4 linked regions of the Macaca mulatta genome follow. The protein of the gene in region 3 interacts with the protein of the main gene of each other region in a pairwise test. Links are inferred from orthologs where the notes say so. Each region holds a gene or a part of one and is shown on either strand. Other genes may lie near its edges. The genes, in order: APPL2, PNMA1, SUV39H2 and RASSF1.

The links.
Region 1: the proteins of SUV39H2 (region 3) and APPL2 interact in binary tests that used the Homo sapiens proteins (3 or more experiments, as listed by UniProt). The link is inferred for Macaca mulatta from reciprocal best matches to the Homo sapiens genes SUV39H2 and APPL2.
Region 2: the proteins of SUV39H2 (region 3) and PNMA1 interact in binary tests that used the Homo sapiens proteins (3 or more experiments, as listed by UniProt). The two-hybrid records come from large-scale screens. The link is inferred for Macaca mulatta from reciprocal best matches to the Homo sapiens genes SUV39H2 and PNMA1.
Region 4: the proteins of SUV39H2 (region 3) and RASSF1 interact in a two-hybrid assay, tested with the Homo sapiens proteins (2 studies listed by BioGRID and IntAct). The link is inferred for Macaca mulatta from reciprocal best matches to the Homo sapiens genes SUV39H2 and RASSF1.

Annotation. Positions count from the first base shown.
Region 1 is NC_133416.1:112,456,601-112,463,353, reverse strand, and holds part of APPL2 (DCC-interacting protein 13-beta), read left to right. Parts: intron 1-2,587; coding exon 2,588-2,746; intron 2,747-4,160; coding exon 4,161-4,349; intron 4,350-6,425; coding exon 6,426-6,468; intron 6,469-6,551; coding exon 6,552-6,608; intron 6,609-6,703; coding exon 6,704-6,753. UniProt on the Homo sapiens protein: Multifunctional adapter protein that binds to various membrane receptors, nuclear factors and signaling proteins to regulate many processes, such as cell proliferation, immune response, endosomal trafficking and cell metabolism.
Region 2 is NC_133412.1:146,881,794-146,889,278, reverse strand, and holds PNMA1 (paraneoplastic antigen Ma1), read left to right. Parts: upstream 1-2,836; 5' UTR 2,837-3,639; coding exon 3,640-4,701; 3' UTR 4,702-5,507; downstream 5,508-7,485.
Region 3 is NC_133414.1:16,431,552-16,439,024, reverse strand, and holds the start of SUV39H2 (histone-lysine N-methyltransferase SUV39H2), read right to left. Parts: upstream 4,583-7,473; 5' UTR 4,560-4,582; coding exon 4,529-4,559; exon of another isoform or gene 3,948-4,528; intron 1,955-3,947; coding exon 1,809-1,954; intron 1-1,808. UniProt on the Homo sapiens protein: Histone methyltransferase that specifically trimethylates 'Lys-9' of histone H3 using monomethylated H3 'Lys-9' as substrate.
Region 4 is NC_133407.1:113,817,016-113,823,768, reverse strand, and holds part of RASSF1 (ras association domain-containing protein 1), read left to right. Parts: intron 1-349; coding exon of another isoform or gene 350-466; intron 467-583; coding exon of another isoform or gene 584-637; intron 638-755; coding exon of another isoform or gene 756-893; intron 894-993; coding exon of another isoform or gene 994-1,082; intron 1,083-1,181; coding exon of another isoform or gene 1,182-1,282; intron 1,283-1,547; coding exon of another isoform or gene 1,548-1,806; intron 1,807-2,062; coding exon of another isoform or gene 2,063-2,188; intron 2,189-2,270; coding exon of another isoform or gene 2,271-2,392; intron 2,393-2,503; coding exon of another isoform or gene 2,504-2,629; intron 2,630-2,717; coding exon of another isoform or gene 2,718-2,793; exon of another isoform or gene 2,794-3,091; intron 3,092-3,353; exon of another isoform or gene 3,354-3,380; 5' UTR 3,381-3,394; coding exon 3,395-3,644; intron 3,645-5,954; exon of another isoform or gene 5,955-6,063; intron 6,064-6,178; coding exon of another isoform or gene 6,179-6,190; coding exon 6,191-6,297; intron 6,298-6,645; coding exon 6,646-6,753. Other genes in the region: ZMYND10 (zinc finger MYND domain-containing protein 10), read left to right, coding at 350-466, 584-637, 756-893, 994-1,082, 1,182-1,282, 1,634-1,806, 2,063-2,188, 2,271-2,392 and 2 more. UniProt on the Homo sapiens protein: Potential tumor suppressor. Required for death receptor-dependent apoptosis. Mediates activation of STK3/MST2 and STK4/MST1 during Fas-induced apoptosis by preventing their dephosphorylation.

The sequences.
Region 1 (6,753 bases), on a different chromosome or scaffold from region 3:
TTTTCTCCCATTCTCTCCCTCATCTTTCACTGTCTCTTCCTCATCCTGCTTTAACTCTCAGAATTCCTCGGCCTTCTATGTTTCTGGAAGAACCATCATCTATGCCTCAATTTTTTTCACACACCTGATTATTTTCTGAATGGGTAGGAGGACATCTGTGCCCATGCGTGTGAGATGTCGTGGTTTCCTCTTTCTGCAGATCTTAGAGCCTGTGTCTTCCCTTCTTGTCAGCATTTCCATGAACCATTATTAGGCCAACCCAAGTATAGCACCAGCCATCCTGAGAGAACCACAACCCGGGCATTAACGTCAGAGGCTGCGCCTGGGCTACATGGCCTTCTCTGTGCCGGCTGGGGCTGGCTCTGCGAGTCACCCCCTCTGTCTGACAAGCTGTATTTAGCTATGGGGTGACAGGCAGCTGGTGGGGTTTCCAAACTGAACCTTGCAGTACTTGATTTGAATAACTAAAGTACTGTTTTGAGTGCTACTTTTCCTATAAGTTTTCATTTCATGTTGGTGAGTAAATATGACCGCTCTTCTCCAAACCAAGGGGTGGTTTTGCTGCTGCATTGCCATGCATGAGCGGCCAGCCCACCCAGGGAGGCCTCAGAGCAGGATCTGGTGGTGGCCTTGAAGCTGTGCAGCCCTTCCCCGGGGGATGATGCCACAGGTGCTCTGTGCTTTCACGGTGGGGGTGGATTCAGAACCCAGTGGTGGGACTCCAGATAGCACGGCATGGTTTCCAGCCACCCCGCAGAGCTTTATCCCCTAACCCTATAGTGATACAGTTCTACCTTTCTGCAGCTCATATCTATAGATGAACAGATACATAATTGTGTGTGTGTGTGTGTATATACATGCTTTTTTTTTAAATATCTGTGAAGAGAACCAGTTGAAAGCAATTAATTTTAACCATGTTCCTTTGGTTCCCGGGAACCTTGGATGAGCTCCCAGTGTTTGAGCCTGAGTCTGTGTGGGGCAGGGGAGAAGGGGAAGGCAGGTCAGCTACTAAAAATCTCCTGGGGTTGTACGCAAGATGCCACGTTGGTGCCCGTGTCCTTCTGGGGACGGGGTCCTTCTTTTGTATCACATCTTCAAAGAGGTTTCTCACCCATAAAAGCTGACCCTGAGCTCTTGACAGGCTCTTGGTCCCTCCTCCCCATTCTCCCCTCCCCCTTTCTCCTCCCCTGTCCTATGTGCTGAGCTTGGTCTTCCACGTTCCATTCTCTCAGCCAGGGTAGTGACAAGCAGGCGAAGCTAATCAAGTTTGTCCTCCAGCTTACCTGTCCTAAGGCCACCAATGGTAGAGTCCCCCATCATCCCAGTCAAATGTCAGAAAAGCCAAAATTGAGCTGCATTAAAGATGAGGAGCTGACCAGGAGCGGAGGCTCACGGCCATAATCCTAACACTTTGGGAGGCCGAGGTGGGTGGGTCACTTGAGGCCAGGAGTTCAAAACCAGCCTGGCCAACATAGTGAAACCCCTTCTCTACTAAAAATACAAAAATTAGCTGGGTATGGTGGTGCATGCTTGTAATCCCAGCTGTTTGGGAGACTGAGGCATGGGAATCGCTTGAACCCAGGAGGCGGAGGTTGTAGCGAGCCAAAGCAGGAGTCTAGACAGACAGACAGACAGACAGACAGACAGACAGATAGATAGATAGGGAGTGGGGAAATATGGAATGCCCAAGCCAACATTCCTTAATTACAGAAGAGAGAGAATCCTGAGGTGCTCACGTGGAGAAACACTGGCCCCCCGTTTGCTTCTGATTTTAACCCTGTGATTGCCGTGTCTCCTGTGACACAGTGCAGAGGAAGCCTCCTCTAAAGTGTGATTTCTCAGATGGATGGGCCCTGTTGGGCAGACTGTCACAACTGGGTGGGGTGGCCTGGTGAGGTCTAGCTTAGTAGGGGTAAAGGGCAGCCACCATTTCCACACGTCAGCACACACCTCCATGAAAACCAGGGGCTAATGTCCCAGAGCCAGGCCATCTGTCCACTTACCCCTGTGTGGGCAGCCCTCGGCCTGCTAGCCCACGCAGCCTCGGGGCAGATCTGTGGCTGTTAGAAAAGGAAAAGCATTGCCTTTGGCTTTGTGGTTGCACCTTAGTACCACTTCCTGGTCATTTTCCTGTCAGCACCGCTCCTGCCTGAACCAAGAGCAGGGGAGGCCTGACTACCATTTCATTCCTTCCTTCTTGGAACTTGCTTAGGCTGCCTGTGTGAGCAGCCCTGGAGGAGGGGCTTCTCAAAGCTTTTCTCCAAAAATGTGCATCAGCGGTGCTAAGCATGGATACCTCTGTCAGCAGCAAAACTGTTCAGCTGGGTTCAAGCATAGGTCAGTGGCATTCCTTAGGTTCTGTTTTAAAACAGCAGTCATATAGACACATTTACTACTGCAAAATTGAGTCCCTGTGATTCATAGTTTTCAGGGCCTAAGGGTAGAGGGTTGTGGCCTTGTAGGAGGCTGGCAGCTCCATCTGTAAGGCCGGAAGCTTGGCGGGGGTGGAGTGATGGCTGCCAGTGGCTTCTTAGTAGTGCTGGGTTGGCCAGCAGTGAGTAACTGACCCAACACCTTCTGTCTTAAGCATTCAGGTAGAACTGGAAGCCGAGGCGGAAAAGATGCGGGTGTCCCAGCAAGAATTCCTCTCTGTTGATGAATCTGTTTACACTCCAGACTCTGATGTGGCCGCACCACAGATCAACAGGAACCTCATCCAGAAGGCTGGTTACCTTAATCTCAGAAAGTGAGAACGCCACCGTCTGCCTCTTTTTCTGAAATCAGTTTTCCCTAAGAAGTGGCTGAAAAGCAATCTTACATGCCCCATTAAAGTCGGAGGGAGGTGGGCGGGTGAGACTGGGAAGAACTCCCATCACAGCAGCCCTCCCACTTGCAACATAGGAAACCTCTGGGGCCCTAAGAGATGGGGCTGGAATGAGTCCTCTAAGAGCCCGGTGCTGTAGACTCCAGGACACTGTGGCCCACCCTTGTCTCTGGTCACTGTGGCCATGTGCAAACAGACCACTCTTAACTGTTACCATCCTGGACCACTGACATTTTTTATCCCGTCATGCCACTTCCCCCACACCAGCTGGCGGGTGAGAGCCATGTGCTGGAGACCTACCCGCGAGCCAGAGGCAGCGTCAGAAGGCTTTTAGAGTCAGTTCGATTCATACTGATTGGGTCACACATTTACCACTCGGGTCTTTAAGTGTCCATTTTGAATGGAAGGGATGATCAGGTTTAAGTGCTTCTGTGAGCGCAGAGGATATTGTCATGGTGTGGTGTGAAAAGCACTGACTTTGGAATCAGACAGCCCAGCTGGGCTGAGCCTTGATCTCTTCATGTGTAAAATGCAGCTGATAACCGCACCTGCTTTATGAAGTTAGATTGAATGTGTTCATCCCTCCCAGGCAGTGAGCACTCAGATGTCAGCCGCTGCCATTTGGGGAAATTACTGGGACAGGAAAACCAGTGCCTTTGGACATAGTTGCTACTCTGTAAATACTGAGCCAAGTAAAGTATTTGAAAACCCCCAGTGGAGGGTCCATGGAGAGGAACTGCCAGCTGTTAGCAGGCTGGAGCACCTCTAAGGTCTGGGAACTTGCAGCGATCACAAGCTAAATGTCCCCTGGAGTTCTGCAGGCGTAGAAAACCCACTGGGTTCTGTTGTTACTTGCCAGGAACTAGATTTTCCTTTTGTAAGCAGCCCACAAAACAAGAATGACCTTCAGTTAAAGCAAATCTGTTGAGAGCCTCCTAGGACCGGTGGGTGCTGTGGGCGAAGGCAACCGTGAGTAGATTCAGAGCAGCTCAGCTCCAGGTCTCAGAGAAATGATTCTCCAGGTGTTCAGTTCTTCATGGTGGTGGACTCATTCTAGTTCCATCTCCTGGTTTAGTAGTCAGCGTGTGGCTGCAGTGCGGGGTCGGCCCTGGGACTGGTATCTCCCTTGGAAGCAGAGCCCGTGATCTCCCAGATCATTCTAGCTAAATTGTACCCTTCTGCTGCTCTTTCTACTTGAATGGGCAGTTTTGCTTTAACGATATAAAGAAACACATTATTTCTAAAATGCCACCAGTACCCATAACGAGGCAGCAAGACTTAGAGGTGCGGCTGGTGCTTTCTGGTACTAATGGGCTTTTTAAAACACAACCCACAGCAAAACAGGGCTGGTCACTACCACCTGGGAGAGGCTTTATTTCTTCACCCAAGGCGGGAATCTGATGTGTCAGCCCAGGGGAGCCGTGGCTGGAGGTTTGATCCAGGACCTGGACAACTGCTCAGTAATGGCCGTGGATTGCGAAGACCGGCGCTACTGCTTCCAGATCACCACACCCAATGGAAAATCGTATGTCTCACGCGTTTTATTTGGGAGGAGAACGAGTATAGTGGTTTCACCCGTGCCAGGGGCCTCCTAGTTCATTCCTACGTGCCAGCCCTCTGTGGGAGAGGCCCCAGTCTGGGTATTGTTTACCTTTCAGGAGGATGATTTTCTGCTCTCTTTAAACAAGCCCACGTGACCCATAAGGGATCCAGCCTGTCTTATCCCATATGGAGATAAGTGAGGGTTTGTCTGTAGCTTTGGAGATGACCTACATGTGTGAGACAGCAACAGAAGTCGTGCGTGTTAGCACAGATTCTGAGAGAGAGAGAAGGCTGTAGCGACTCCTAGCCTGTTGTAAAGAAGCATTTGTGTTTGGATTGTGGCAGGGGAGGGTAACTGCATTTTGGTAAGGACGACCTTCCTGAGAAGGCCATTTTTCCAGCAGAAGCGGGAGTTGTGAGAAGTACACTCCGCTGCAGCAGTATTGGCGGCTGCCATGCTGTTCCCACACGCCCTGTGTACCTGAGGGGCCCCAAAGAGGTGGTACTTTAACGATCCACAGCCTGTGGTCGTTCACAGTAGATCCCGTCCCAGTGGGATCCCCTCTCAGAGCAGTGGTTTTTAAACTGCCCCAAGGAGTTCAGAGTCCCATGGAGGGGCTTCAGGGTTCACCTGCCTGGGGAGAGGAGTGGCCCTGCCCGTCATCAGAGCTGCTCTTCTGGCATTGCATTCTATTAAGATTTGACGTGAACCGCAGGGGGGCGCGGTGGGGACGGCGTTGGGATGATGTCTGTCCTCCCAGCTTGGCAGAGCAGCTTTAGACCCCGTCCTTCCTGCTTTGGTGATGGGAATGGAGATTCCTGGATGCTCATCATGGTCCTTTGCAGTTACCTCCTCTGGGCCTCACTTTCCTCAGATAGAAAATAGAAGTAAGATCTATGTTGCCCCATCTGCCACAGATGAGAGGAACAAGGGAACCGGCAGATGTGGAGTCTCTTTAAAGAGGTAAAGCCTCGGCCGGGCGCGGTGGCTCACGCCTGAAATCCCAGCACTTTGGAAGGCTGAGGCGGGGGGATCACCTGAGCTCGGGAGTTTGAGATCAGCATGACCAGATGTGGAGAAACCCTGTCTCTACTGGAAATACAAAATTGGCCGGGCGCGTTAGTGGTGGTGGGCGCCTGTAATCTCAGCTACTTGGGAGGCTGAGGCAGGAGAATCGCTTGAACCCAGGAGGCGGAGGTTGTGGTGAGCCGAGATGACACCATTGCACTCCAGCCTGGGCAACAAGAGCGAAACTCCGTCTCAAAAAAAAAAATAGAGTTAAAGCCTCCACAAAGGTAGGGCAGTATTACTGTTACCTTATTCCCAGGCCTCCATATGCAGACTTTTCAGTTCTGGGAAAGGAGTGAATGGGCTGCCAAGTCCTTCTTTGGGCATGGTGGAGGAGTGGCTGGGCTTGGAGTCCTGGTCATCTTGGATCATTAGAGGAGGTCGACAGATGAATCTCACTGTAGAATCAAAGACTTGGGCTAGAAGATCTGAGTCCCACCTTCTGATTTCATAGAAGAATATGCTGAGGCCCAGGGAAAGGGCGTGTTTGTCCAAGATCACACAGTGAATCAGGGAGAGCCAGATCTACAAGCCCGTTTTCTTTTTTTTCTTTTTTTTTTTTTGAGATAGGGTCTTGCCCTGTCACCCAGGCTGGGGTGCAGTGGCACAATCACCACTCACTGCAGCCTCAACCTCCTGGGCTCAATCAGTCCTCCCACTTCAGCCTGCCTAGTAGCTAGGACTATAGGCACACGCCACCACGCCCAGCTAATTTTTGTATTTTTTGTAGAGAGGGGGTTTCGCCATGTTGCCCAGGCTGGTCTCGAATTCCTTGGCTCAAGCCATCCTCCTGCCTCGCCCTCCCAAAGTGCTAGGACTGCAGGCGTGAGCCACTATACCTGGCCCTGGAACCCCATTTTCTTTCCCTCTCATCATGCTGCCTTCGTGGCCCGTTTCCTCCCACACCCCAGCTAAGTTCAGTTTATGTAGAATAATCCCCAGTCACTGAGATCGGGGAAGTACTTAATTACTCAGATGCTTTTGTTTCAGGGGAATAATCCTCCAGGCTGAGAGCAGAAAGGAAAATGAAGAGGTAAAGATTTTGTTTGTCATCCTTCTTTCCTAGTGTGGTGGGTGACTTTGGGATTCAGTATTCTTTTTTAATGTCCTCTACAGTGGATATGTGCAATAAACAACATCTCCAGACAGATCTACCTGACCGACAACCCTGAGGTAATTAACAGTCGCCTGCATCTCAGCCCTTTTCTCAACCTGGAAGGTAAGCATCCACCTCCTGGGACTGAGTGTGTCTTCCTGTGGATTTTTAGGCAGTCGCGATCAAGTTGAATCAGACCGCCCTGCAAGCAGTGACTCCCAT
Region 2 (7,485 bases), on a different chromosome or scaffold from region 3:
AATTCTAAGTGAATGCGCGTATGACAGGTCAATGTATTAGGAAGGAGCCAGAAAGTATTCATACTGCTACTCCTTACGAGATAGCCAAGAAGCGTCAGGTCAGTAACTGGGAGTGGAGAGGGAGTTTTGTTTTGAAACTGTGCACTGTCAGGTATTTTTCAGCATCCATTTATACATTAATGTGGTTCTACAGGACCCCGGCTGTGGAAGTAACAAATTTCTTCTCCCTGCAGACTCTTGGATGACTACCTACATCCCCAACTTCCCGGTTAGTTTCCTCCACAGGTTTCCATGAGCTCAGTATCCCAAGACAGCAAAAATCTGGTATACCCTGTAGAAGCAGGGGGGTAGCAAATTTAGGCTCTCTTCGAAATTACTTGTATAATACGAGTGCCTTCGCAGCTTAGCCCCAAAGTGCTACTTACGTTTCCCAAGGTTTTTTCTATTCAAACCATATTTGGTTTCAGTCCCCTTTATGGACATAGGGTAACAGAAACCTCCATCATTCAGGAGACCCTTTTGTTCAGTGGTAACATCTTGTACTTGGAAAAAAAATTTTTTTTTTTTTGCGACAGAGTCCCATTCTGTCGCCCAGGCTGGAGTGCAGTGGTGCGATCTCGGCTCACTGCAACCTCTGCCTCTCGGGTTAAAGGATTCTCCTGCTTCAGCCTCCTGAGTAGCTGGGATTACAGGCACACACCACCACACCCAGCTAATATTTTTGTATGTTTTTTTTTTAGTAGAGACGGGGTTTTGCCATGTTGGACAGGCTGGTCTTGAACTCCTGACCTTAGGTGATCCACTCGCCTCGGCCTCCCAAAGTGCTGGCATTACAGGCGTGAACCACCGCGCCCGGCCATAAATGTTTAAACAAGAAAGTGATTCTACTCTTCTAAGCGTACAGAGACCAGACCCGGTGAATGTAACTGGGGAAAATCAAGATGGTACCTCTCTGCATTAATCCTGCCAGACACCATATTTTAGGAAGGTCCATGCTCCAGGATGCATTCATGTCTTGGATACAGTGTGAAAATTAAAAAGTTTAGAGGGTAGATGTAATTGTGGCAAGTGACTTGCCAATAAAGTAGGTGCAGCTATAGAAGCTGGCATAGGTATATCCTTAATGGTGCTTTCTCCCTGGGCTTGTCTCTTGTTGTTTTTTTCCCTATATTCAGAGCTCTGAGAAGTGATAAACACCTCCAGCTTTCTTAACATCCTCCCCACACCATCTCACCATATCCATCTCCCAGCATCCATCTGCATTCAGCTAAGGGCGGGAAACTGACCTAGTGCCTGTGCTGCAGACCATTTCTGAGGTCTCCACCCATCCAAGGAGGCAGAGCCATCATTACTGTCCTCCATGCCTTCAGCAGCCCCCCTCACAGCTAAGGTACATACCACCCCTTCTGCCGCGCCCCCTTCCACTCCTGGCACCAAGGTCTTTTGCTGCTTATGTCTAAAGGGATCGCCTATATTTAACTGCCTCAGTGACCTAACCTCTTTCTTCTCATGTGCCAGATGTTAAGATGAAGGAGGAATACAACACATGCTCAAGCCTCAGCTGTTTAGTTGTTTTCACTGGGGCTCGCTTTTCTGGGACGGTATTTATTATCAGACTGGCAAGCCTAACTCCATAGGTTTACAGGAAGTAGGGATATTTTTATAAAACAATTGTGTCCTCCCCACATTTTGCTATGTTAATATTTGCCTCTAACAATTTGCAGCTGTTTCACTTTTTCCTCATTTGTCTCTAAGTTGAAGGCCTTGTTGGAGGGGACAGAGCACAGGAACAGCCTTGACAGTCTGTAATTATTGTACAAATATTTTAATAGCATATAAATAAGTATATTCCTTTTATTTTGAAACAAAAATGATCAGACACTGCCTTTTGTGTGTTTGCTGCCTGTGGCACCCTTTTTGAAAAAGACTGTTACATATTAAAATAGTGTACATACATATAAATATTACCTCTTTTGCTGTACAGTTGTGATAGAGACTGAAGATTTTATTTTTTGTGTGCTTTTTATAAGAAAAAATTAATACACTAAAGAATCTTGCTGATGTGATTGTAATGTACCTATGTAACTTATTTACTTTTGAATGTTCTTCTGTATCTTTAAACCTTTTATTAAATAAGGTTTTAAAAATTCAGAGTTGAATGCTATGTTCTCTCGGGATTTTCACCATCTGGGGTTGATGTAAGTGGGCCTTGTCTTGCTTGCAGGGAGATTACTCGACATTTTTGAGCCATAAGGATTCTCTTTTAGCAGCCTATTGTCGATGCCAGCCAGGAAAAGGAAAATAACACTAATGTTTGCCTGGCTAAAAGATGACTCAGTAGACACAGACAAACAGATGTTTACAAAAGTTTAGACAAGAAAAAGTCTAAACTCAGTATCTCACACAAAAAATGGCGCACTCCGGCTTCATTGGGATAAAATACGCAGGGTGCACAGTGTGGTCAGGGGTAACGGGAAGCCAGGGTTCTGAGGAGAGTATTTTCACGTGCAGGGTGGACTGGCTGGGCAACCCGAGTAGACAAGTCCACCATGAGGGATGCCATGACTTCCAATAGTATCATCTTAAATCCACTCCAGGATTGGGTTATTATTTTTAAAACACGGTGCTTAGCAGTATTTGTTTGCTGTTAAAATGGAAAATTATGAAAAAGGAAATGCGCCATCAGAGAAACAAATGCCCGAGCCCCTCGCTGGCACCATGGCAACCGCTCGACCCCCGCGGGCCGCCGGAGCAGGCGTGATTCGCGCCAGCTGGGGCGCCGTTGCCATGGCGACGCCCGAGCGGCTCCGCCACAGGGGCGGGACGGGGCGGGGCTGACGCCGCTCGCGGGCTGGCCCCATCCTCCACTGCAGCAGTAACGTCGCAGCGGGTTGCGGGTAGGACTCGACGCTGGGGCAGCCGCGCAGCGCCTGAGCCGCTGCAGGCCGCCGCGGCCGCCGCTGCCCACCCTTGCCTGTGCTGTTTCCAGCCTCGCTTCTCCGGCTTTCCTGCTCCTCTGCTGCCTTCGTTTCTGGTCCTCGGCCGTCCTCGCCGCCCGCCCAGAGGAGTCCCCGCGCCCGCCAAGAGGAGTCCCCACGCCCTCCAAGAAGCCGCTCTCCGCTGGCCCGCAGCCGCCGCGACTTCGGCACAGTCTCTCCCTCTGGCTAGTCTCCCAAACGGCCGCTCCTCGCCCGCGGGAAGACCAGGCTGCGACCGCGAACGCCCGATCCTCTCCAGGAGCCGCAGCGAGCGCCCGGCGGGCACGCCCCGCGACCACACCCCGGCTGCTTTCGACCCAGCGCGCCTGCCTTCGCCGCCCGCCCTCGCTCCTTGCCCGCTGCACGACGACGCGACAGCCCGGCTGCAAGCGGCAGACCCGACCGGACCCGGACCCAGACGCAAGATGGCGACGGCCGCGTGACTTCCTCAGCGTCCCCGAGCTCAGCTCCAAGTGTACCTACGGACTGACTGGGGGGGCAGAGAAGGGCGAGATCAGGACTCTGTGTCTTTGTTAGTCGTGAATGCATGAAGCCTACCTCCCTTGGGCCTACTTGGTGGGAGTGTCTGGTATTGTTCTAAGGCCAGGAGTACGGTGAGCCACAGTCTGTTGGTAGAATTGGCGTCTTGATAGTTGAGAAAATGGCGATGACACTGTTGGAAGACTGGTGCCGGGGGATGGATGTGAACTCCCAGAGAGCTCTGTTGGTCTGGGGCATCCCAGTGAACTGTGATGAGGCTGAAATCGAAGAGACCCTCCAGGCAGCGATGCCCCAGGTCCCCTACCGAATGCTTGGGAGAATGTTCTGGAGGGAAGAAAATGCGAAAGCAGCCTTATTAGAGCTCACTGGCGCTGTCGATTACGCCGCGATCCCCAGGGAGATGCCGGGCAAAGGAGGGGTCTGGAAAGTGTTGTTTAAGCCCCCAACTTCTGATGCTGAATTTTTAGAAAGATTGCACCTCTTCCTAGCTAGAGAGGGGTGGACCGTGCAAGATGTTGCCCGTGTCCTTGGGTTTCAGAACCCTACTCCGACCCCGGGCCCAGAGATGCCAGCAGAGATGCTAAACTATATTTTGGATAATGTTATTCAGCCTCTTGTTGAGTCCATATGGTACAAGAGGCTGACACTTTTCTCGGGGAGGGACATCCCAGGGCCTGGAGAGGAAACCTTTGATCCCTGGCTGGAGCACACTAATGAGGTCCTAGAGGAGTGGCAGGTGTCCGATGTAGAAAAGAGGCGGCGGTTGATGGAGAGCCTTAGAGGCCCTGCCGCTGATGTCATTCGCATCCTCAAGTCCAACAACCCCGCGATAACCACTGCCGAATGCCTGAAGGCGCTTGAGCAGGTGTTTGGGAGCGTTGAGAGCTCTAGGGATGCCCAGATCAAATTTCTGAACACTTATCAGAACCCGGGAGAAAAATTGTCTGCTTATGTCATTCGTCTGGAGCCTCTGCTACAGAAGGTGGTAGAGAAGGGGGCCATTGATAAAGATAACGTGAACCAGGCCCGCCTAGAGCAGGTCATTGCTGGGGCCAACCACAGCGGGGCCATCCGAAGGCAGCTGTGGCTTACCGGGGCTGGGGAAGGGCCGGCCCCAAACCTCTTTCAGTTGCTGGTGCAGATCCGTGAGGAGGAAGCCAAGGAGGAGGAGGAGGAGGCTGAGGCCACCCTTCTGCAGTTAGGCCTGGAAGGGCACTTCTGAGTGCCAGAAAAGACAGCTTTAGTGCAGACCTAGATCACAGCTAGTTTTCTTGTCCCTGTGGGGGTCTTACAGATGTGTCTCTGAGTAGTAAAGGCTTAGCCCTGTTCCGTTTTGTTGTTTTTTTGGAGGGGAAGGTTAGTCAGGCCTGAGTATTCATGTAACATTCTAAAATTGTGCAAGCGAGCACCGTGAGCTGCTACAATGCAAGTGGGTCTTGCTGGCTAAAGTGCCAGGTAAAGGGTTGGTTGGACACAGCGCTTAGTGCACGCTGTCATCATGGACATCATAATCAGTTGTGAAAAACACACGAACCTCTGACACTTCCTATTCCACACTGAATGTGAAATTGCATGTGCAGATGTTTACTACGGGGCCTGGCTCACAGGAAGTGTTCAGTAAAAGTATGAACTATTAGATTACTGATAGCGCAGATAGATTTTTCTTTACCATAAATAGTTCCAGATTTATATTGATGGAAGGAAATGTGCATTTATTAGCTATTACTCAACTTTACAATGCAAACATCATATTTCTCATCTTTAAACATGTCGATCAGTTTAATTGAAAAGTATTCTGAGACTGCAAAATGGGGTGTTAAAAAAATACTGCAATTACGGAGCTGTGTAAACCAGTTTCTCATTGCATAAGATACAGATGTAAATTGCATGGAGAGGTTGATATGCACCTGTACAGTAATTCACTTCCCCATTTCAGATCTTTGTCAGAGAATAGTTCTTGTTCATACTGAGTGTTCTAAATTTGAAGTTATATATACAAATTAAAATATTTTAAAAATTCTGTTGTCTTCTCATTTTTCTGGCATGTATAAACATTTTTAGCCTAAGTAAACTCTGTCCTTTTTTCTTATGAAGACTTTGTCATTAAACCATTTATTTTACTCTTAAGCTTTGTATGATACTATGTGAATTTAAATGGCAAGTCCTTTTTTTTCCTTCCCCTCTTGCTGTCATCTTAACATTTTTTTGGTTTATTTTTTAATTTTTTAAATTTTTTATTTTTATTAAGGGCAGAGAGGGTCTTGCTCTGTTGCCCAGGCTGGAGTGCAATGGAGCGATCTCAGCTCACTGCAACGTCTGCCTCCCCCGGATTCAAGTGATTCTCCTGCCTCAGCCTCCTGAGTAGCTGGGATTACAGGCATGTGCCACCACACCTAGCTAATTTTGTATTTTTTTAGTAGAGATGGGTTTCACCACGTTGGTCAGGTTGGTCTGGAACGCCTGACCTCAAGTGATCCACCTGCCTCGGCTTCCCAAAGTGCTGGGATTACAGGCATGAGCCATCTAGTTTTTTCTACTAAAAATACAAAAATTAGCCGGGTGTGGTGGTGGGTGCCTTTAATTCCGGCTACTTGGGAAGCTGAGGCAGGAGAATCACTCTGGGAGGCAGAGGTTGCAGTGAGCCGAGATTGCGCCACTGCACTGCAGCCTGGGCAACAGAGTGAGACTCTTGTCTCAAAAAAAAAAAAAAATCTAGGCCGGGCGCGGTGGCTCACGCCTGTAATCCCAGCACTTTGGGAGGCCGAGGCGGGCGGATCACAAGGTCAGGAGATCGAGACCACGGTGAAACCCCGTCTCTACTAAAAATACAAAAAATTAGCCGGGCGCGGTTGTGGGCGCCTGTAGTCCCAACTACTCGGGAGGCTGAGGCAGGAGAATGGCGTGAACCCGGGAGGCGGAGCTTGCAGTGAGCCGAGATCGCGCCACTGCACTCCAGCCTGGGCGACAGAGCGAGACTCCGTCTCAAAAAAAAAAAAAAAAAAATTTAGAGACCAGATATGGTGGCTCACACTTGTAATCCCAGCACTTAGGGAGGATTGCCTGAAGCCAAGATTTTGAGACCAGCCTGGGCAACACAGACCCAATCTCCACATACATTTTTAAAAATTAGCCAGGCATGGTGGCACAGGCCTGTGGTCCCAGCAGCTCAGGCAGCTGAGGTGGGAGATTGCTTGAGCTCAGGAGGTTGAGGCTGCAGTGCGCCATGATCGCCCCACCGCACTCCAACCTGGTGATAAAGTGAGACCCTGTTTCTCAAAAAATTTTTTTTAGAAAATCTTGAAATGGGGTTCAGGAGGTTATCTGGCAATGTTTTTCTCTTAAGATCACTTTTCAGCTAAACATTTTATTTCACTGAAGAAATAACTATAATTCATCACACCTGTGTAAAATGACGGCTTATTTTACAGCAGCCATTTATAACAGGAAGATATAAAAAGGGAAATACAGCTATAAAACATGTTTTTTTTTGCGGCAAAGATTCAGTGATTGAAGATATCCATCTTTTGAGGTCCTCAGTGAATCTAAAGTTACTACATGAATATTGTGTTCAGTGAGCTTTTCCCTAATAAGGTTTTAAAATTATAGCTGAGCCATTCGACAAGTTTATAAGGGGTAATGTATGTTCTTCCAGATTTTTCGGTGCACATATTCGCTTCACGTCTGTACATCCCTTTCCTCCTGTCACAAACACATCTCCACATACTTGCCTTGGTTCCCAACAGATACGCTCAGCTTCACTTACCACAAACACTCAGCATGTCTTCACCCGCTACCCACCATTCACATAACTTTCCCCTCCATTCCCACCAGCATCAGGCATGCACTCAGCCGACCTCTCACACTCTGGACACATTCACTGTCATCTCCCCCTCAGTACTCCCCGGATAACATACACCCTCCTCCCGTTCCATGTACACTATGCCACTCTCCCAACCTCAACATACATTCCCACTTCTCCTCACACCCACACACACTCCCACCACCA
Region 3 (7,473 bases):
GAGTCACTGTGCCCGGTTTAAAAAATTTGAATTGTACACTTTAAATAGGTGAGTTGTATAACAGCATGTGAATTATATCTCAACAAAGCTGTTAAAAAAGTCAATGGGACATGCAGTAGTAGAAAAAGACAAACACTTGCATGAGTGGAGAGGCAAGGCCAAAGAAGATTCTTTGAAGGTTAGGGAAGATCTGAATATGTTTACTAACTGAGATATATCTGTAAAAAAAGAGAGCTTGATATAAACAAGACACCAGAGAAGAAAAAAAAAATCCAGCAGGGTGCAGTGGCTCACACCTGTAATACCAGCACTTTGGAAGGCCAAGGTGGGCAAATCATGAGGTCACGAGTTTGAGACCAGCCTGGTCAACATGGTGAAACCCCAACTCTACTAAAAAGTACAAAAATTAGCCGGGCATGGTGGCAAGTACCTGTGGTCCCAGCTACTCAGGAGGCTGAGACAGGAGAATCGCTGGAACCCAGGAGGTGGAGGTTGCAGTGAGCCGAGATCACACCACTGCACTCCAGCTTGGGCGACAAGAGCGAGACTCCGGGTCTTTAAAAAAAAAAAAAAAAGTCCTAGAAGGGGTAGATAGGAAGAAAAAAGAAAAATGGTGGCACCTCTGGAAGTAAGAATAAGTGAACAGCTGGCGGTGAAGGTAAGTTGAGAGTTTACACATGAAGGATCCTATTTTTCATTGAGGTAGGAGGTCTTCAGCAGAAAACAAGAAATGGGTAGAGTAAGAAACCCAGAAAAGTAACACAAGTTGGAAAACCTGCTGACAAGAATGGGAAAAGCAAGCAAGATTAAAAGCTCGTCAGGTAGAACTGAGCAGTGTGAGAACAGAAATAAGTTATAATGGGGCTGATATGCATGATTGTATAATATGCTCAGCTGGATTGGTCAGTCCATAGGTTGTAAACTGAGATGGCAGATGACTGGGGCTGTTTCAGGGGCTGAAGGATGCTGAGAGTGCCGGTGAAATGCACGAGCATAAGATCCCACTGAGCGGGGAAGGCAGTGATACTAAAGGAACTTGAAAGAATGGGATTTAGTGACTGATTCAATATAGAAGATGAAGGAGGAAAACAAAGACTTAAACAGGATTCCCGATTCACTTATCAATAGAATTGGTAGATTAATGACCAAAACAGTTCTTGGAAAGAGAGGTAGGCTATAGACAGATGAATTACTCAAAAATATAAAGTTTAGATCAAAATATCTTTAGAGAACAACTCTGCCATTTTTTAAGAGCAATAAAGGCAGGCTTAGAGAAGTGAAACGAGTTTGCTTAAGTTCTAAGGCACTAAACAAAAGCTGGAAATGACTTCGTAATCCAGGCCATTCTGTTATAACCTAGAACCTGACTAAATCTGGAGTTTGACAGGATGGCAGGAAATGCAAATGGTGATGTTCTTGAGATTCAATAACACTAAAATTGGTTTGAAACGGTAGGTTCATTTCAGGTGATAGTGGGGAAATATGATCCAGGAACAAAACGAAAGACAATTGGAGATCAAACATTTGCTCTGGTAACCCACATGGAGATAATCAAGAGTTGGATGTAGAGTGATATGAGCACTAATACGAGCACTAAAATATTCTAATGCAAGAACATTGTAAGCTTCAAAATCCTCTCAATGCTATTTGGCAACACAGATGACAGGACACATAAATTTATTATGGCTTAGAATTTTTTAAACATTAAGAAGAGCTTTTCTTACTTTTAAGGTTCTTTTTTTGTTACAGAAATATGAAATACTGAAGTCTGATTAGGTCTCTTGTAAGGGGCTAGACATTTGCCTTACCTTTACTACCTTGTAGTCACACAAGTATTCCACCTCATAATTGTTTAGATTCCTTTTGGTGATTCCAATCGATTTACATGTGAGCTTTTCTTTTCTACATAATTCCTGAAGAGTATCAAGTGAAACTAGGCAAGGCACACACCAAGCTACAATAAGAAAATAGAATTCTTTACTAATGAAATAGCTATTCAATTAAAATAAAAAAGAGAAAAACCCTCTATTCCCCAACTTTCAACTGGCAATTTTAGACTAAAAATTCCTATGACAAGAAACCAATTATGCGTCTTCAAGAAAAAGTTAAACATTAAGGAACTATTTCGTTAAATTGGTGTTCTTGGATTTTCTCATGGATTTCTACTCCACTATGTTTAACTGACATCAGTTGATTTCCATTAAGTCACTCGAAAATGTTTCATGTCTGTAAGCTTTTTAAAAATTATATGCAGATGCAGGTCAACAGAGGTAGTGTTTCTTACTTTCATTGTATTCTACATAGACTATAATCACTATTTTAATAAAATGTAAATCTCTAGGACACTTATTCTTAAAAACACATCTAAAATATACTTTAAAACAACATTATAATTCGTTAACACATAACTCATTTTTTTTTAACTGGACAAAACTGAAATCTAATAAAAATATATTTCTACGTTACAAACTCATATGTTAGTTTTCTCTTTGAAATGTTGCATGAAGCTTTAATTCCACTTATTATTTTACCCATACTGCAATATATTATCACCAAGGTGAATAAACTCGAGTTATTAAAAAAATGGAGAGTATATTGATATTTTGTAATACTTATTGACTGTATTGTTTTTAAAGCCAAACTTTTAAAACGGTGTTCAATTTACATAAGCCATGTACTAAACTCAAAGAAAATTAGACATACTTATCATCAACCCTCCAGAAGCCAGAAACTAATTGTGTTCCAGAAGATTTGACCCTCAAATTTCTGTAAGTAGCATGTTACCACACTGAATTTAAAGTGTAAATTAACAAACACGTTTAGGAAAATGGAACAAACTTGGTGTTAGCGCTAGTGTCATGGTAAGCACTAGACAGGATCAAAAGTCCTCTGCCCTACCCATCGCTCAGCCACCGAGCTATGTGACTTTAGTGAGGTCTCAATCTGTCTGGCTGTCACATTCACTGGAAAAAAATGGAGAAAACTGGTGTTACCAAACAAAATCTATCAGTAAACTCAAGCTTTACTTGGTAGCTCTCCAAGGTAGTTGCGATCACCTTTTATGTTTTGAGGTAATTTCAGGAAAGGGAGAACACTTGTTAGCAGCAATAACTTTTCCTGCACCCTTTCCTCATCCTCCCCACCTCACACAGAGACTACTTCATTGTCAGAAACCCTTAAGCATAATTTCCACCATCTCACTGGCTGCAAACGACTCCATCCTAAAGCAGTAAAGAGAAAGGTATTTTCCTCCAGAAAACGTGGGGGAAGAGGCCGATTGCTTTGGAGTGGTCGTTTGGGGGTAGGACAGTGATAGGAGAGAAATGACCCCGTAAGTCCCTTCCATCTAAAAAAACTAGAGGACGTTTTGTGTTAAGCTGACCTCACTAAGGGGATCACGTATAAAGGTGGTTCCTCTTGAGTATCTACCCAAGGTGTGTTTGTGTGCTTTTCCTAAACATTTTTATCTAGTTGAGGATTCAAAACACAACCCGCAAAGGAAATGCTCTTCGAGAATTTAAAGGAAAAAAAAAAGTGAACATGAAAAACTGCAAACACGTGGTTAAAAAAAAGCAAAACGACAATCTCTCAAGTCTCCAGTAATGTAGAAAAATATTTCACTGACAAAATTAAATAGTTCATGACCACCACAAACACCTTCCGCTAGCTTAGTTCACAGTAACCCCTGACATTCTCCAAGGAAGAAAAACTCGGGGATAATGAGGTCATAATCCAAGTGGAGAGGAGGCGAGCTTGAAAACACCTTTACATTCCAGAACGCACGGAAAAGTTCCAGGCTCTCAAAGCGTGCGCGACACCAACACCCCCCGACGCCCACACCCACGCACGCTCGGTGCCCAATTCCCCAGCGTCCACAGAAATAACACCAAGCTCCCGGTGGGTGGAAGAGTTACCGTAAGCCAGAGGCTGCAACCTCAAATACCCACTTTCTGGGCGACTCTCCAACGAGGCACTCAACCTCCTAGCGTGTCCGCCTTGTGGGGGGGGGGTTCCTCGGTTATCCCCTTAGCACACAGGAGCCCCGATTTCCTCTCCCCCTCTGATATTAAGGTCATGTTCACGCCGGCGGGCGTCGCTTCCCGCCTCCCACTTCAAAGGCCCGGGCGCATGCCGCACGCCGCGCTCGAACCACCACAAAGGAGCCAGTCGCAGCCGGGCCCCCGGGACCTCCAGCCGGGGACCGCCGGGGAGCGGCCCCGACCCCCGAAGCCACCACGGGAGACGCCAAGGGGGCCGGGCCGAGCGGGCGGAGAGGCCACGCTCCGCAGCCGAAGCGCCCCAGGCTCGCGCAGTGCCCACCTCCGCGGCGGGAGCCGGCCGGGCAGGGAGGCGGGTCAGCGGCCTGGGGGAGGGTAGGCGCCCGCAGCGTGCGTCCCGGAGTCGGGGGCGCGGCGGCCGGGGAACCGCCACGTCGCCGTCTGGCTGGCCCGCGGGACGGCCCCGCCGCCCGGGCCTTGGGAGCTTGCCTGGGAACGGGGAGGGCGAGGGGGCCGCGCTCCAGCCTCACCTCCTCGCGCCTCGGCCCCGACCGCCGCCATCTTGTGGAGCTTTCATTCAAACTGGCGCGGTCTGACGGGATAGCTCAGCTGGCCCGACGCCCCGCCCCTGGCCGGCCCGCGCGGGACTTGGGGGCCGGGGCTTGTAGGGGGGATGGAACCCGCACGGCGTCCTGACGTCACTGGCGGCCGACCCCCCGCCGCGGCGGTCAGCGCGCCTGCGCCCCAAGGGTAGGCCCGGCCCCAAAAGCGAGGAGCCGAGCGGGGCGGAGCGAGCGCGCGCGCGTGCTTTGGGATGCTCTGCGGTGTCCGGCGCCCATACCCTGCGCCAGGCCCGTTTGGCGCATTCACTCGGGAGGACGTCGGCCAGGGACGGTGCCTTTCGGGTCCGGTTCCGCAGCCACCGCAGCTCGGCGGGCCATGGTTAGGCTCCCCCCGACCCCACTTCCCTAGAGCACCGGGCCTCGGAAGCGGCCGCACATGGGCACGGCTGGAGAGGTTCCGCTGGCTTGGTGCAGTCGCCGGGATTCCGACTGGTTGGTGTGGGGTGTGGCCTGTGCTGCCCAGCTCCCAGCTGATCCTAATGTGCGGCACAGCTGAAACCGCCAGTCTCCATCAGTGCTTCTCACACTTAAAAGGGGTTTACGAATCGTCGTGGGGGGGAGGTGCGGACTTGGAATTTTTTGAGAGATGGGGTCTCACTCTGTCACCAAGCTCAAGTGCAGTGGCGCGATTACGGCTCACTGCAGTCTCGACCTCCTGGGCTCAACTTTTAATGTAAATTGGGACTGGGTAGGTCTGTAAGGAGACCCGAGCCCCCCTCCCGTGTTGTTGACAAGCTCCTGAGCTCGGCCTGCTGACGGGTGGGGGCCGGGAGGAAGAGGACTTGTTGGTAAGGAGGCTGCAGGGCGACTCCGGGGGCCTCCCACCTGGTCTCCACCCCCTCCCCCCAGCCATTCTTGACGCCGCATCCATATGACTGTTTTAAACAACCTAAAGCAGAAATCTTAGAGCAAATAACGAAAACTGGCAGAAAGCCATTTGATGTCTACTAAGGACTTAAACGCAGACCATTAAAGGACTGGTTATTTGATTCCATTATGAAATACTGTCTAGCCGTCTTAAAAAGATGTTCATGAAGCTTTTAGTGTTAAGCAAAAACAAAACAAATCCCCCTGAAATATAGTTTTAACTAGGAAAAAAATGTATAGGAAAATAACGAAATACAGCCTTTCGAAGTGATTTTAACTTCTCGTTTTTACATATTTAATCATTTTCTACGATGAGCATCTCACTACCTTGATATAAGGAATAAAAGGCCCTACCCAACCCTATCACCTGGAAGAGCATCCAGGCCCTTTAAGGCGTAGTCTATCTAGGATTATGCCTTCAGGCCCTTGAAGATACAGCCTCCCGTCCTAACCGACCCCAAGCACTCATTGCCTCTCCTGTATGTTTTCAGAGCCCTCCAAGGAGCGGCCTTCGCTACTCACTGGTCATTCCTGAATCCCTTTTTGGCTCCTTTTCCTCAGTCCAGCCTGGGTTCCTCAGGGAAGGGACTGTAGCCCTGGGACTGCATTTCTCATCCGCCCTCTCCCTATGTGACTGCCCCGATTCCCATGGATTTAAATTGCATCTTGACACAAGATTCCTAACTTTTTGTCTCCAACCCTGGCCTCTGCCCTGAATTCCAGGCTAGAATATCCACAGTGCCTAATGGACATATGCCCTTAGGTGTTGCACAAACATCTCCAATTGAACATATCCAGAAAAATACACTTCTGGACCTTAGTCCAGGCCATCATTGCTCGACTGAAGTCCTACAACAGCTGAACTGTTTTCACTTCCACCACTGCTCCCATTCAATCCATTTTCTAGGCAGCTGAAAAAATGACCCTAAAATATAAAGAGGAACAGGCCTTTCCCCCCGCTTTAAGTACTTCCCAGCACATTCAGAATAAAACTCAAACCTCCAGTGATTGGAATCCTGTCTCTAACCTCACTTTGTGCCACTCCCCTTTACTCATTATTCTCCAGGCCTTTCCTCGGCCCCACTCACCCAGAAATCTTTTACTGTGCATCTCCTATGTGCCAGGCACCTGATAGGTGCTGGGAATATAGCAGCGGATGAGAAAGACAAAAGACCCAGTCCTCAGGGAGCTGACTTCCCAGTGAGAGGAGCAGCGGATAAAGCAAATCACTGAAGGCAGCTGTAAATTACTTTCCGGTTCAGAGGACAGGCTCCTTCCCCTCCTTACATGGCTACCTTCAGATCACTTGGGTCTCAGCTTAAACGCCACCTATTGACAGAGGCCTCGCATGTTACCTAATTCTTTAGCCCTACTTGGAATCCTTAAAAAGCACTTATCAAAATTTGCAATTATCTTGTCTAGTTTTTGTTCTTTGGTCTTGATTAGTTTCAGTAAAAACTTACGTAATGAATGTATGGCACCATTTTGTAAATTCAGTGTTTCCTTTGTTTCTCGTCTTGAACCTCATCCATTCCAGCGCATAGATGAGGTCCTGTCTGTCCAACGTTCAGCACCGTGTTTACTATCTAGAGCAGGAATTCTCCAGGTATGGTAATGGGGACCCCAAGACCCTTCAGAGGGTTCATGAGCACAGAACTATTTTCAGACCAACATGTTCCCTGCCTGCCTTGGCTCATGAGTACACAGTGGAATTTTCCAGAGGTTACACAATTTGAATATTGCAACACGTTGAACGAAGAAGCAGATACCAGAACATAGCTATCTTCTATTAAGCCAGACATTAAAGAGACTTGAAAAAATACAAAATACTGCTTTTGGCTAGGCAGAGTGGCTCGCACGTATAATGTTAGCACTTTGGGAGGCTGAGGCAGGAGAACTGCTTGAGACTAGCCAGGGCAACCCTAATAAAAAATTAGCTGGGCGTGTTGGCAGGTGCCTGTGGTCCCAGCTACTCAGGAAGCTGA
Region 4 (6,753 bases), on a different chromosome or scaffold from region 3:
CAGGGACAAGAGGGAGGGCATGAGCAGAAGGGCTGACTTGAAAGGGACGCCTGAATGGGCGGGGAGAGGATAAGGGGGCAGGTGCAGGCAGGGCAAGGCAGTCTGGGAACTGGGCAGGAGCCAGTCACATAAGCATGAGGGACATCCACAGAGGTGTTGGGAGCAGCTGGAAACGAAGGTCCGAAATGCAAGAGAAAAGTCAGGAAGGATAGCCATGGGGTTTGGGATAGTTTAGGGGCCCAGCAGTGTTTGGGGAGATCTGGGCTGAGCTGAGCCAAGCTGGGGATAGGAGGGTTGCCAGGCAAAGGTAGGCCCATCTCATCCCTGTCCTTTACCCCATCCTTCAAAGGTCCCAACGCTGGTGGAGGAGTTGATCGCAGTGGAGATGTGGAAGCAGAAGGTGTTCCCCGTGCTCTGCAGGGTGGAGGACTTCAAGCCCCAGAACACCTTTCCCATCTACATGGTGGTGAGCTGGGCCCCTGGTTCATACCTCCTCCCACTCCTTCAGAGGGCTCTGGACTGGGGAGGGGAGCTGGTAGCCCCTATCCCTACCACAGGCCCTGTCCCTCTCTTTGTCTGTCAGGTGCACCACGAGGCCTCCATCATCAACCTCTTGGAGACAGTGTTCTTCCACAAGGTGAGGGACTATCTCTGCCCATGGGCCACAGTTTCAGGTCAGGGCCTGGCAGGAAGGGAGGTTGTATCTGTGTGGGGAGGGCATCAGACACAGAAAGTTTCCCTCCCCCTTTCCCCAGGAGGTGTGTGAGTCAGCAGAAGACACTGTCTTGGACTTGGTAGACTATTGCCACCGCAAACTGACTCTGCTGGTGGCCCGGAGTGGCTGTGGTGGCCCCCCTGAAGGGGAGGGGTCCCAGGACAGCAACCCCATGCAGGTGGGTTGAGGTTACCTAGGATTGTGAAAGCCTAGGTCTGGGTTCCCCAAGGCCTGCACAGGCAAGGGTAGCCCAGCATGAACACTGTGTGACCTCGCAGGAGCTGCAGAAGCAGGCAGAGCTGATGGAATTTGAGATTGCACTGAAGGCCCTCTCAGTACTGCGCTACATCACAGACTGTGTGGACAGGTGGGCAGTCCGACTGGGCCTGGGCCTACCGTGGAGGGCTGGAAGACTGGGCCTGTAGCCTGCCTCTGCTCACCTCCTTCACAACGTCCCTGCCCCTAGCCTCTCTCTCAGCACCTTGAGCCGTATGCTTAGCACACACAACCTGCCCTGCCTCCTGGTGGAACTGCTGGAGCATAGTCCCTGGAACCGGCGGGAAGGAGGTAGGGTCCTCCCACACCAGCCTAAGCCCCAGGCTACTGCTTCAGGATATCTTTTTGATAGAGGGGGCAGTTTGCACACACGAAGACAAACCCCGTCCCCAAGCCCATCTGAGGATACCAGGATGCCTCAGCCAAGAGTGGCCTAGACCTGAGCTCTGCAGCAGGCCAGGCCCATGTGTCCACTACTGAGGCTCACTCTGCTCTGGGGTCAGCAGCACTATAGCCTGGGCAAGTCCTGTGGCCCAGGTTCTCCCACCATTCCCAGGCAGTGGTCAGTCTCCCAGGCCCCACAGCTGGCTCACTTGAAGAGAATGCAATGCCTGTACCCAGTGTGCTGGTTCCTCTCCCCAGGCAAGCTGCAGCAGTTCGAGGGCAGCCGTTGGCATACTGTGGCCCCCTCAGAGCAGCAAAAGCTGAGCAAGTTGGACGGGCAAGTGTGGATAGCCCTGTACAACCTGCTGCTAAGCCCTGAGGCCCAGGCGCGCTACTGCCTCACAAGTTTTGCCAAGGGACAGCTACTCAAGGTCGGACTCCCTCTGCACCAGCCCCCACAGCCCCAGCACCGCCCTCCCCATCCTACCCTGACCCTGTCCCTGCTGTTTATCTTTGCCCACCCACCTCAAACCCCGTGCTCTTTTCAGTCCTTGGGCCTCAGGTGACACACCAGCTAGTGGGACATGGACCCCCACAGGCATGCTCAGCCCAACCCAGCCCCTTCCTTTTCCGTGGCCCCCTGGCCAGCACCTGCATCACACTGGCCTCCACTGGACACTCTTGCAGCTTCGGGCCTTCCTCACAGACACACTACTGGACCAGCTGCCCAACCTGGCCCACTTGCAGAGTTTCCTGGCCCATCTGGCCCTGACTGAAACCCAGCCCCCTAAGAAGGACCTGGTGTTGGAACAGGTAGACACTGGAAAGTTAGCTCCTCAGGACCACTGTCCTACTTTACCAGCACCTTCCTGCCACTCTCCACTCCTTTCCCTAGATCCCAGAAATCTGGGAGCGGCTGGAGCGAGAAAACAGAGGCAAGTGGCAGGCAATTGCCAAGCACCAGCTCCAACATGTGTTCAGCCCCTCACAGCAGGACCTGCGGCTGCAGGCACAAAGGTAAGTCCTGTGGAACTGGCAGGAGGAGTGGATGGGATGCAGGAGGCATGGATGTGGGCAGGGATGCCCCCACCTTCCAAGGCCAGTCAGATCTTCCTGACTTTCCCCCAGGTGGGCTGAGACCTACAGGCTGGACGTGCTAGAGGCAGTGGCTCCAGAGCGGCCCCGCTGTGCTTACTGCAGTGCAGAGGCTTCTAAGCGCTGCTCGCGATGCCAGAATGAGTGGTATTGCTGCAGGTGAGGGTATCCTAGGACCTTGGACCCCTAAGTCCTACTGCCACATCCCCCACATGCACTGCCCTCCTCAACACCCACCTGCCTGCAGGGAGTGCCAAGTCAAGCACTGGGAAAAGCATGGAAAGACTTGTGTCCTGGCAGCCCAGGGTGACAGAGCCAAATGAGGGTTGCAGTTGCTGAGGGCCAACCACCTATGCCAAGGGAATCCACCCAGAATGCACCCCTGAACCTCAAGATCACGGTCCAGCCTCTGCCGGAGCCCCAGTCTCCGCAGTGGAGAGCAGAGCCAGCGGTAAAGCTGCTGACCCATCCCCCTCCTCCCCACCCCAAGGGAAGGCTCGAGACTTCCTGCCCCACCTGGTGGGCAGGCCAAGTGCGTTGCCTCAGCAAACTGGGCCAGGAGGGCGAAGGCCGGATGTGGGGACCCTCTTCCTCTAGCACAGTAAAGCTGGCCTCCAGAAACACGGGTATCTCCGTGTGGTGCTTTGCGGTCGCCGTCTTTGTGGCCATCCGGGGTGGGGTGTGAGGAGCGGACGAAGGAGGGAAGGAAGGGCAAGGCGGGGGCTCTGCGAGAGCGCGCCTAGCCCCGCCTTCGGGCCCCAGAGTCCCCGCACCCAGGTTTCCATTGCACGGCTCTCCTCAGCTCCTTCCCGCCTCCCAACTTAGATCCTGGGGGCGGTGCTGACGTCGGGGCCCGCCCTGTGGCCCCGCCCGGCCCGCTCTTGCTAGCGCCCAAAGCCAGCGAAGCACCGGCCCGACTGGGCCATGTCGGCGGAGCCTGAGCTCATTGAGCTGCGGGAGCTGGCACCCGCTGGGCGCGCTGGACAGGGCCGCACCCGGCTGGAGCGTGCCAACGCGCTGCGCATCGCGCGGGGCACCGCGTGCAACCCTGCACGGCAGCTGGTCCCGGGCCGTGGCCACCGCTTCCAGCCTGCGGGGCCCGCCACGCACACGTGGTGCGACCTCTGTGGCGACTTCATCTGGGGCGTCGTGCGCAAGGGCCTGCAGTGCGCGCGTGAGTAGCGGGCCCCGCGCGCCTACGAGAGCGGAAGGGGCAGCCAAGGGGCAGCGCCGTCGCCGCGGGTCAAGTCGCGGCAGAGGTGGTCGGTGGGGACAGCTCCCGAGGACTAGGTCCGTTACTTTCGCCCCATCGCTGAAGAGTGCGCGAAAATGGTTTATCCCTTGTCGCACTCCACTCGTATATGGGGCACAGATGAGCAGAGGTGGCAGCTTATATGTAAAAATATGCTGATTTCAAGTTTCTTATCTTTAAAATGCCTTGGCCTTTCTTGAGAAAGGGTTTGTGCCTACTGTCCTCGGAGTCCATCTTCCCAGGCTTGCCTCTTCTCAAACATTCACTCACTGTGACCCCCTCCAGAACCTTTGGGGTGAAGGGAAGTTACCCACCTATGGGAGGGAGCCTGGAAAAAGTTAGAACCTTGGGTGTGCCCCCTGCAAGCAGGAGTTTTGTTGAGTATTTAGCAAACACCCTTGAATCAGAAGCTAAAATATGGAAGGCAGCCACACACCCAGCAGTCCTTCTGCACCCCTGGGAATCGCCAGCAAGCAAAGGTTGCTCTCCCCTAGCTAGACACCAGCTGGAATCACCAGGGGCGCTTTTACAGCCCTCCCACCCTCTAGCCTGGATGCCACCTCAGACCCATTGAATCAGCTGCTGGGAGTGGACTCAAGGCAGCAGTAAATTTTTTTAAATCCCCAAATTATTGTAACATGGAGTCTGGGTTGAGCATCAGTGCTCTGACCCATTTAGGAACTAGTGGATAGATGGTGTCCCAGGTCTGTATGTGCATGGAGACCCTCTCATCTGGTACAAGAGGACATCACAAATTCAGCTGGGGGGAGCACAAAGTTGTGACAGAATACAAAGAATAAACAAGGGCCGAGCACGGTGGCTCAGGCCTGTAATTCCAGTACTTTGGAAGGCCAAGGCGGGTGGATCACCTGAGGTCAGGAGTTCAAGACCAGCCTGGCCAACATGGTGAAACCCCGTCTCTACTAAAAAATACAAAAAAATTAGCCAGGCGTGGTGGCGGGTGCCTGTAATCCCAGCTACTCAGGAGGTTGAGGTGGGAGAATTGCTTGAACCCAGGAGGCGGAGGTTGCAGTGAGCTGAAATCACGCCACTGCTCTCCAGCCTTGGGGACAGATTGAGACTGTCTCAAAAAAAAAAAAAAAGAAAGAAGGAAGGAAGGAAGAAAAAGGCTGGGACACTGCAGCATTCTCAAAGAGAAATAAAGTGGCCATAGAGATAAGAAGCAGGATGATTTGGGCATGTTTATCAGAGGTAGAGACAAGGGAGGAATCAACGATAAGTTTGGGTTTTTGTTTCCAGTAACCGGGAGCATAGTGGCCATTTTTGCTGCAAAGAGGAAGCTGGGCAAGGGTAGCAGTGAGGTGGAAGAAAAGGGAATTAAATTTTGGCCATGTTCACTTGAAACGTCTTTTAGACATCCTAGTGAAGGTACTGGCACGGAGGATCTAATCTGAGGGTTTAGGTCAGTGTTTCAGCTGTGGATCTGGGGCAGAAGATTGTGTAGACAGACCAGGCCAGCGATCAGGACTGAGCCCAGACTTCATCATGAGATACGGAAGTTGAGTCAGAATCTGCAAAGGAGCTGAGCAGGAGCTGCAGGGGGGGTAGGAGGAAAACTGGCAGTGTAGCCCCTGGGAGTCAAAGGGAGCAAGCTTCAAATGATGCTGAGTGGGTGAGAATGGAGAATGGAACACTGCATTCCATTTGGCAGCGCATAGATCGCTGAGGACCCTGTCCTGGGCAGTTTCCTGGAGGGAGAGGCAAGCCTGGCTGAAGTGGGTAGATGGGAGAGTGAAGGCGAAGGATTAGAGTGTATAGAGACCAATGTTTTGGTCTGAGGGGAGTACAGACAGATGACAACCAGAGGGCAGAGGTAGGTTAAAGGTGTTTAGTTTTTCCTTCAAGTAAATGGGCAGATGTATTCCATAGAAGTTCCCAATGAAGGGCCGGGCGCGGTGGCTCACGCCTGTAGTCCCAGCACTTTGGGAGGCCGAGGCGGGTGGATCACCTGAGGTCACGAGTTTGAGACCAGCCTGGCTAACATGGTGAAACCCTGTCTCTGCTAAAAATACAAAAATTAGCGGGGCGTGGTGGCGGGCGCCTGTAATTCCAGGTACTCGAGAGGCTGAGGCAGAAGAATCGCTTGAACCCAGGAGGCGGAGGTTGCAGCGAGCCGAAATCGCGCCATTGCACTCCAGCCTGGGTGACAAAAGGAAGACTCCGGTTTTTGGTTTTTTTTTTTTAATTGCCAATGAGGAAAGGGGAAGCTCTGTGCTAGGCGACAGAGATCCCAACTGTTGAGCAGGCCTCTGCTGTGGCCTTCCGGCCGGTTTCCAGACACCCAGGGTGGCCAACATTAAAGTCCGCATAGCAGTGTAAGGTAAAACACTGAAGCCGGGCCTGCGGAGCCTGGCGGGCAACGGCCCTCTTCCTGGGGCTTCCCTTCAATCTCCCGGACATTTCCCCGACCTGGGGCTCCTCCGCCTCACGGCTAGGCCTCTCTGCAGATTGCAAGTTCACCTGCCACTACCGCTGCCGCGCGCTCGTCTGCCTGGACTGCTGCGGGCCCCGGGACCTGGGCTGGGAACCCGCGGTGGAGCGGGACACGAACGTGGTGAGCGCGGGGCCGAGGGCGTATGGGAAGGGCGAGGACGGGCAGGCCACAGCGCAGGCATTCTCGAAGACTGCCTGGGTGCTGCGCGCAAGGAGCGTTCTAAGTGCCGATTTCCCGGCGGCAGAGAGAGGCTAATTCTGAGCGAGGGCTGAGAGGGGTGCCTGGATTGCCGGCTCCGCAAGGCCTCCACCGGCTGCTAGCAGACCCCAGCCGCTAGCAGTCCCCAGCCAAGGCGGACGCAGGCTCCGCGCACGCGCACTTCCCGCACCTTCCCGCCCTCGCCTCCGGCCAGAGGCCACCCTTGTGCGCTTGCGCGGACGCTGGCACCCGCCCCGTTCCCTGTGGTAGGTGGGGTCTCTGAGTGGAGCTGCCGGAGCGATGAGGTCATTCCTCGGGGCTAAGTGTGCGTGTCCCCGCCCCGGCGTTCCTCCCCCAATGACACAAGAGCTAGATCCC